Sus scrofa: one gene and its partner. Each later gene encodes a partner of the first gene's protein in a complex. Links are inferred from orthologs where the notes say so. Each region holds a gene or a part of one and is shown on either strand. Other genes may lie near its edges. The genes, in order: STRAP and GEMIN2.

What was found.
Region 2: STRAP (region 1) and GEMIN2 share a complex: the UniProt entries of both Homo sapiens proteins name them as parts of the SMN-Sm complex. The link is inferred for Sus scrofa from reciprocal best matches to the Homo sapiens genes STRAP and GEMIN2.

What each region holds. Positions count from the first base shown.
Region 1 is NC_010447.5:56,723,128-56,726,951, forward strand, and holds part of STRAP (serine-threonine kinase receptor-associated protein), read right to left. Parts: intron 2,165-3,824; coding exon 2,068-2,164; intron 962-2,067; coding exon 824-961; intron 1-823. UniProt on the Homo sapiens protein: The SMN complex catalyzes the assembly of small nuclear ribonucleoproteins (snRNPs), the building blocks of the spliceosome, and thereby plays an important role in the splicing of cellular pre-mRNAs.
Region 2 is NC_010443.5:169,682,491-169,686,314, forward strand, and holds part of GEMIN2 (gem-associated protein 2), read left to right. Parts: intron 1-899; coding exon 900-1,016; intron 1,017-3,295; coding exon 3,296-3,340; intron 3,341-3,824. UniProt on the Homo sapiens protein: The SMN complex catalyzes the assembly of small nuclear ribonucleoproteins (snRNPs), the building blocks of the spliceosome, and thereby plays an important role in the splicing of cellular pre-mRNAs.

The DNA of each region.
Region 1 (3,824 bases):
GGAACTTCCAAGTGTTACAGGTGCAGCACTAAAAAAGACAAACAATGAAATGAAATAAAATAAAATAAAATAAGAATTGAAATAAAAAGACCATTAGGTCTATACTATACTTGGAACGGGGGGGGAAAAAATCACAATTTCTCTGAAATTTTAAAGTGAAATAGCAGAATCAAGATCATAGCGGTTTTACACAGTAATGAACAACATTAATTATAGCACCAGTCCAGTGATCCTTTCAAGAAAATTATAAATTGAAAGTTGTTAAATTTTACCAATAAATGTCCTAAGTATCTGGAAATGAATTTAACTCCTCTGCTTAAAGTATACCACATTCTCTCTCTTTTTTAAACAAATGTCTCTATATTTTTTTTTTCTATAACTTTTTTGGGGGGCTGCACTCATGGCATGAGAAAGTTCCTGGGGCAGGGATTGAGCCCATGCCATAGCAGTGATCCAAGCCACTGCAGTGACAATCCTGGATCCTTGCTGCACCACAAGAGAACTTCTAAATTCTTAAGGAACACATTATTATTGGGTATGGAAACATTTCCCTCCATATTACAGTAATAGGCCAAGACTTGTCTTTAAAAGAGTTAAATACTTAGCATATGACTTTCAATTTTTTTATTATTATTTTATTTTTTGGCCATGCCCTCAGCATGCAGAAGTTCCTGGGTGAAGGATCAAACCTGAGCCACAGCAGTGACAATGCTGAGTCCTTAATCACTAGGCCACTAAGGAACTGCTACCTTCCAATTCTTGAGTACCTTAAATTGCCCTTTTGTTACCAGAAAAGAAAGTAAAGGTATTTTTTAAGACATACCTTATTGCACTATGAAAAGCAATAGATCGTCCATAAGTTATTACCAAGATCTCTCCCTCAGGAATATATTCCATACTGCTAACAGACATATTAAAATTTAGAGATTTCACTTCTGTCATAGTAGCATGGTCCCAAAGGCTGGGGGGGGAGGGAAAAAAAGAAGAGAAAAATAAGCTAGTGTTTACTCATTGAATAAAAAAGCTTATAGCTTAAATTACATCTGCAAATTAACCAATGAAAGACTAATCACTTAGTAAAACAACCTCCATTCCAACTCATAAATCACAGACGATACTGAGAAATTTTGGGTTCCTACAAAACATCAAATTATTTGGTCACGTGTTGGTAAAGTTAATATTAATATTTTAAATATATTTCCCAAATGATTCAGCAAAGCTATGCTATGAAGACACTTATTTCTCAATCTAATCAATTTCAGTACTTCTCCAAATAATAATTATTACATTCTATTTTTGTGAGTCTGATGACAACCTATTTAACTTTACATAGAAAAATACATTAGGTATCAGCTCACAAAATTGTGCATAGGATTTCAGGGGCTTAATGGACTTTCTAAGGCCAACCTGTCCACTGACCCAGATTAAAAAGACATGCTTATAAAGGTGTCAGCAGTTTTAATTGTCTTGTGAATTCTGCTCTATGTTTATAACAGTAAATGATGGATAGCTCCAGAAGAATGTGACCTATATAAAGCCAAAGTTGTAATGTTCAGACACAATCCTTCCTACATAATAGTTAATTTTTTTAAAAAAACTTAAGCTCTAAGGTCAAATAATTTCTCAAACTTAATTTTTTTTTTGGCCATGCCCTCAGCACATCTAAGTTCCCAGGCCAGGGGTCAAACCTGAGCCACAGGAGTGACCTAAGCCACTGCAGTGACAATGCCAGATCCTTAACCTGCCACAAGGAAACTCTTGAACTTTAAATTATTAAAGAAAAATTACTGGAGTTCCCATTGTGGCACAGTGGTTAATGAATCCGACTAGGAACCATGCCCTTGCTCAGTGGGTTAATGACCGGCGTTGCCGTGAGCTGTGGTATAGGTTGCAGACGCGGCTCAGATCCTGCGTTGCTGTGGCTCTGGCGTAGGCTGGTGGCTGCAGCTCCGATTCGACCCCTAGCCTGGGAACCTCCATATGCCGCGGGGGCGGCCCAAGAAATAGCAAAAAGACAAAAAAAAAAAAAAAAAGAAAGAAAGAAAAAGAAAAAGAAAAATTACTTACCGAACAGTTTTATCATCAGCTGAAAGAATCTGTTTATCCTCACTGCACCACAGAGCCTTTTTAATACCAGAACTGTGACCACTGATTTCCTTAGGTTCTTAAGGTAAAACAATTTAAACCATATTTGTTAATATGTGATTTTTAAAACAAAGCAGCATTTGAACAACTAAATAAAGAGAAAAGAAAAACTATCTTTTAAATTGGACAGTGACTTCTCAAACTCCATCACAATTTAAACTTGATGTTCACCTAGAATACATTTAGTTTTCCCATACTAAAAAATTTCTCTGCATGACAAGGAACCCACAAACTATGATGCTATATGTATCTAGGATTGAATACAGCACTCCCTCCAACCTACCCTTCTGCTTTCAAAAGCATTATTGTACCACATGAAGTAAAAGAAGAACTAAGATAGCCTAACTTCATAAAAACACGCGCCCAGGGAGTTCCGTCATGGCACAGTGGTTAACGAATCCGACTAGGAACCATGAGGTTTCGGGTTCGGTCCCTGCCCTTGCTCAGTGGGTTAACATCCGGCGTTGCCGTGAGCTATGGTGTAGGTCGCAGACGTGGCTCGGATCCTGCGTTGCTGTGGCTGTGGTGTAGGCCGGTGGCTACAGCTCCGATTCGACCCCTAGCCTGGGAACCTCCATATGCCACAGGAGCGGCCCAAGAAATAGCAAAAAGACAAAAAAAAAAAACAAAAAACATGCACCCAGGCACAAGACAGTTGAGCTAATTCTAGTGCTATCAGTAATGCTAGGCCCCTCATCCACACCACTGTTAGCAGGGCAAAGCATCAAAAAAGTGGGAACCTGTCTTTCCTTTCAAAAGATTAAAAAACCCAACAAAATCACCTGTTACCTCTGGACAAAAAACAATGTTAAAGGCAAGTTCATTCAACACAACTTAACCTTTTGAAGACTATATTTATTTACCTATAAACGGATTAACAATGGTTACTATACCTGAGAGTTCAATGAGAATATGCATTTAAAGAATCAAATGAGAATATACATTTAAAGTTTCTTTTTTTTTTTTTTGCCTTTTCCCCTTCAAAAGTACAGTAAGTTACTACAGTTATCTCACATTAAATTCCCCAAGTGACAAAATCTCTTTTCCCAAAGTTCTGTGTGGGGGAACTTGGAGGCTGGCCAGTGGGAATAGGTCCAAAGAGACAACACTAGACCAGTACTATGATACCAACTTACTCTTTGGCTGCATGATGTCTGTGTGGACAGCAAGATCTGAATGCAGAACACAGACAGATGCTGCTATCATTCACAGATAAAAACCGTGCACACATGGTCATGCAGCCCATCTACATTTTCTAATCTGATATCTGACAGACAGTAAAAACTCAGTTAATTGCTCATCTTTCTAATTCAAGACAGTGTAAGAGCCATTTTCAAAAAGCAGCTTTGAGAAAGGTAAAAGATGAAAAATGTTGGCCTAGGGCCGAACTATACTGCTGAGTCAGACAGTACACTGATTAAGTGAGGTCAGAGTAGTTTGCTATGTTTATTAGATAGAATAAAGAGAGAAACTCTCATGCCAAAGGAGAACAATCCATAAATGTAGTTTGTTTCCTCACCTTTAATTTCCAATGTAGCTTTGACTTTCTTACAAACTTCTAAAAGTTTGTTGACTTACGAATAGTGCCCATGATACAAAATTTAAGAACCCAGAGTTCCTGTTGTGGCGTAGCAGAAATGAATCCAACTAGTATCCATGAGGATGCAGGTTCCATCCCC
Region 2 (3,824 bases), on another chromosome or scaffold:
GACAGCCCTTTAAGTATGTGGAATATGTAATCATGTCTCCTTCCCTGGGATTCTCATCCTTTATTCTTGTAAGCATTCTTAGTGTCCCATATCAGCTCCTATCTTTATCACCCTCTTTTGAACACACTCTTGTTTGTCACTGTCCATAAAGTATGATTCAAACTATAGAGTTCCCATTGTGGCTCAGTGGGTCAAGAACCCAACACAGTGTCCGTAAGGATGCAGGTTCGATCCCTGGCCTCCTTCAGTGGGTTAAGGATCTGACATTGCTGCAAGCTGCCATTGTCACATTCGTGGCTCATATCCTGCATTGCTGTGACTGTGGTGTAGGCCTGTAGCTTCAGCTCCGATTTGACCCCTAGCCTGGGAACTTCCATATGCTGTAGATGCAGCCCTAAAAAAAATAAAATAAAAAAATAAGTAAATAATAAAGTACAATCCAAACTAAATGCTGGTGTGACCATCAAAGTCTGAGATCAGGGTGTCGGTACATTTCTCTTCAGGCCTCTCTCTTTGGTTTCAGATGGTCATCTTCTTGCTTTGTCCTCACATAGTCTCCTGTGTGCACACACATGTGTAATAGCTCTCTGTCCACATTTCCTCTTCTTATGGATGCAGGTCATTTTGGATTAGGACCTGCCCTAACTACCTCATTTTAACTTAATTGCTGCTATAAAGGCCCAGACTTCAAATAATCACATTCTGAGGTACTGCGGGTTAGGACTGCAGCACGTGATTTTTAGGACTACACAGTTCACTCTTTCGTAACAGGCAGTATATCTTTGTGTTGAGGTGGTGGGGATACAGAGGAATTCTCACTTATTTTTTTCACTGTTGAGTATTTTCTTTAAAAATTATATAGGAATAACTAAATTCTTCTTCTTTTTTCTTTGTTTTAGCCAAAATCTGAAGATGAAGAAGGCTGGAAAAAATTTTGTCTCGGTGAAAGGTTATGTGCTGAAGGAGTTACTGTTGGACCAGCTGCAAGTGAAAGTCCTGGAATTGATTATGTACAAGTAGGTGATAATGTGGCTACACAAAGAAAAATTATAATTTCAGTGCATGATTTCATGTAAAGACTCAGCAAACTGCAGTCTAGGCCAAATCCAATCTGCAACCTGTTCTTGTCCAGCTCATGAGCTAAACATAAAAACTTTATAGTTTTTACATTTTTAAAGGGTTGTTAAAAAAAATTAATAATAATGTGACTTAGACAGTATATGGTCTACAAAACCTAAAATATTTGCTGTCTGGCTCTTTACGGAAATTACTTGCCAATCCCTAACTTAGTTCATTGGCTCTTTGACTTAAAAATTGATAGCCTCATTTATAAAACAATGTACTGTGGCTCTTTTTAGGTTAGCTTCATATCTCTTATGGTTTAGCTTTTTAATAATTTTGTCAGATAGGATTCTTTTTTTAAAAAACCATTAGGCATGAGTCAAACAATGAGTTATAAGTAGTCAAGGAAACAAAGTTAGGTGCTTTAAAATGTTTATTCATAAATTCATATTCTGGAGATTAAATGTTGAGGGTATATTTTAATTTCACGTGACTTTATTTTATTTTTTTTGCTTTTTTTAGGGCTGCACCCGTGGCATACGGAGGTTCCCAGGCTATGGGTCTAATCAGAGCTACTGCTGCTGGCCTACACCACAGCCACAGCAATGCAGGATCCAAGCCACGTCTTCCACCCACACCACAGCTCATGGTAACGCTGGATCCTCAACCCACTGAGCGAGGCCAGGGATCAAACCCACAATCTCATGGTTCCTAGTTGGATTCTTTTCCACTTCACCACAATGGGAACTCCAATTTCACGTGACTTTTATTTTAATCATAAATTATGTAGCTATCTGCTTCTTGTCCTTTAGCATTCGCTTGCCTTCAGCATTCGCTTGCCTTCAAGTGTGCAGATGTTCCAAGGAAACTCACTGTATTCATCTGCATTACTAGTAACTCCTGAAACTATGTTGTTCTGTTGAATAGATATTTATCATTTTCTGTGTGGTGCCACATTGTGTTTTTCCTATTAAAATTAGTTTTAAAAAAATAAATAAATAAATAAAGTAAAATTAGTTTAGCCCCAAAATGTAAAGCTCCAAAAATCACTGAAAAACACCAAGAACCCAAATTAAAAAAAAAAAAAAAAAGGCAAAGAATATAAAGGACATCTCACAAGAAGGAAATACAGATTGTTCTTACATGAGAAGATGCCCAGACTCACTTATGATAGAAATTTAACTTATAATTGCACTGAGCTGGTATGACATATTGGTAAAGAAAATTTGATACACTGAGTCAACAAAGGCTAGGAAGACAGGCACTCTTACACATGGTAGTGGGAGTGTAGACAGATTCAAATCTCTAAGGGAGCTAATTTGACACTGTTTCTTAGACAACTTATGTTCTTTGGGATAATATCCATAATATATTTTAATTTGACACAGAATTAAAATATATATAGTTCGTTATTACCAAATACATACAGGTGAGGGAGTTCCCATTTGGAGCATTGGAAACAAATCTGACTAGTACCCATGAGGATGCAGGTTCGGTTTCTGGCCTTGCTCAGTGGGTCCATGGTCCGGCGTTGCCACGACCTGTGGTGTAAGTTGCAGACATGGTTCAGATCCCGCGTTGCTGTGGCTGTGGTGTAGGCCGGCAGCTATATCTTCGATTCAACCCCTAGCCTAGAAGGCTTCCATATGCCACGGGTGCACCCCTAAAAAGAAAAGAAAACAAAACAAAACCCAAAATACATACAAGTAAAGCATATCATGTGAAAGAACAATTTAAGAACATAAAAGTTTAATGCATGTCCTCAAGTTTCGCACCAAGTCAGGACTGTTTTCATAATCCAGGCTTCCCGCATTAAATTCCAAAGCACTTTCTTAAATTGAAGCAGACTAGGTTTGAAAAAACTCATTCAAGTGCCTTTAATTCCTGAAAATAATAACTTTAGCTGAAGATTTTGAAAAAGTGTATACAACATATTAATGTCATAGTATCATTTTTTTCAGTTTCACGTTTTAACATCTTAATTACTAAAATCGTTCTTTGGTTTTAATTTACGTGTTCAAATGTTAAGACATTATTTTCTTGGGCATTACCAACATAATAGCTCATGGAATATTTTATTGTAATGGACAGTGGAGAAATTTTTCTTTTATCTAGTCTTTGTTCTTTAATAACAGTGTGTTGAGAAATTCACCAGTTTGGAAAAAAAAAAAAAAAAATGAAGCCCCCTCCTTGTAATACTATTTAGTAAATTTCAATTTAATTTTTCTTTCAGATTGGTTTTCCTCCCTTGCTTAGCATTGTTAGCAGAATGAATCAGGTAAAGTCTGTCTGATAATAAGAATGTTAAGTGTTCTTTTGTTTGCAATGTGTGTTAAAATATTTAAATAATTTGCTGAATATTTACAGTATGTAAGACCCAGTTCTAGACTTTGTAACAGTTCTTATTTAATCCTCACTACAACCCTTTATGGGGGATTATTATTAATACCTATTTTTTTGTAGCTGAGGAAACAGAATTAAAGTCACTTGGTGGTTTTTCAGTGAATTTTAATGGTGACATTGGGACTCAGCCCCAGGTTGATCTGATGTTAGAACTCATGCTCTTGATCATGGTGCTAAACTATTCACATATATACATTTTAGTTATAAGTCTTAGATTCTGGGGTTTGAAATAAATACTGAGATCAAAAAGGTGTTTCTAGTTCTGGATGACCTACGCATTTCACTAAGAATGAAATTTGAATTTCTTGGATCAAAAGGGGAGAAATAATGGACTTCAGTCCTTCAGTCTTTCAGGAACT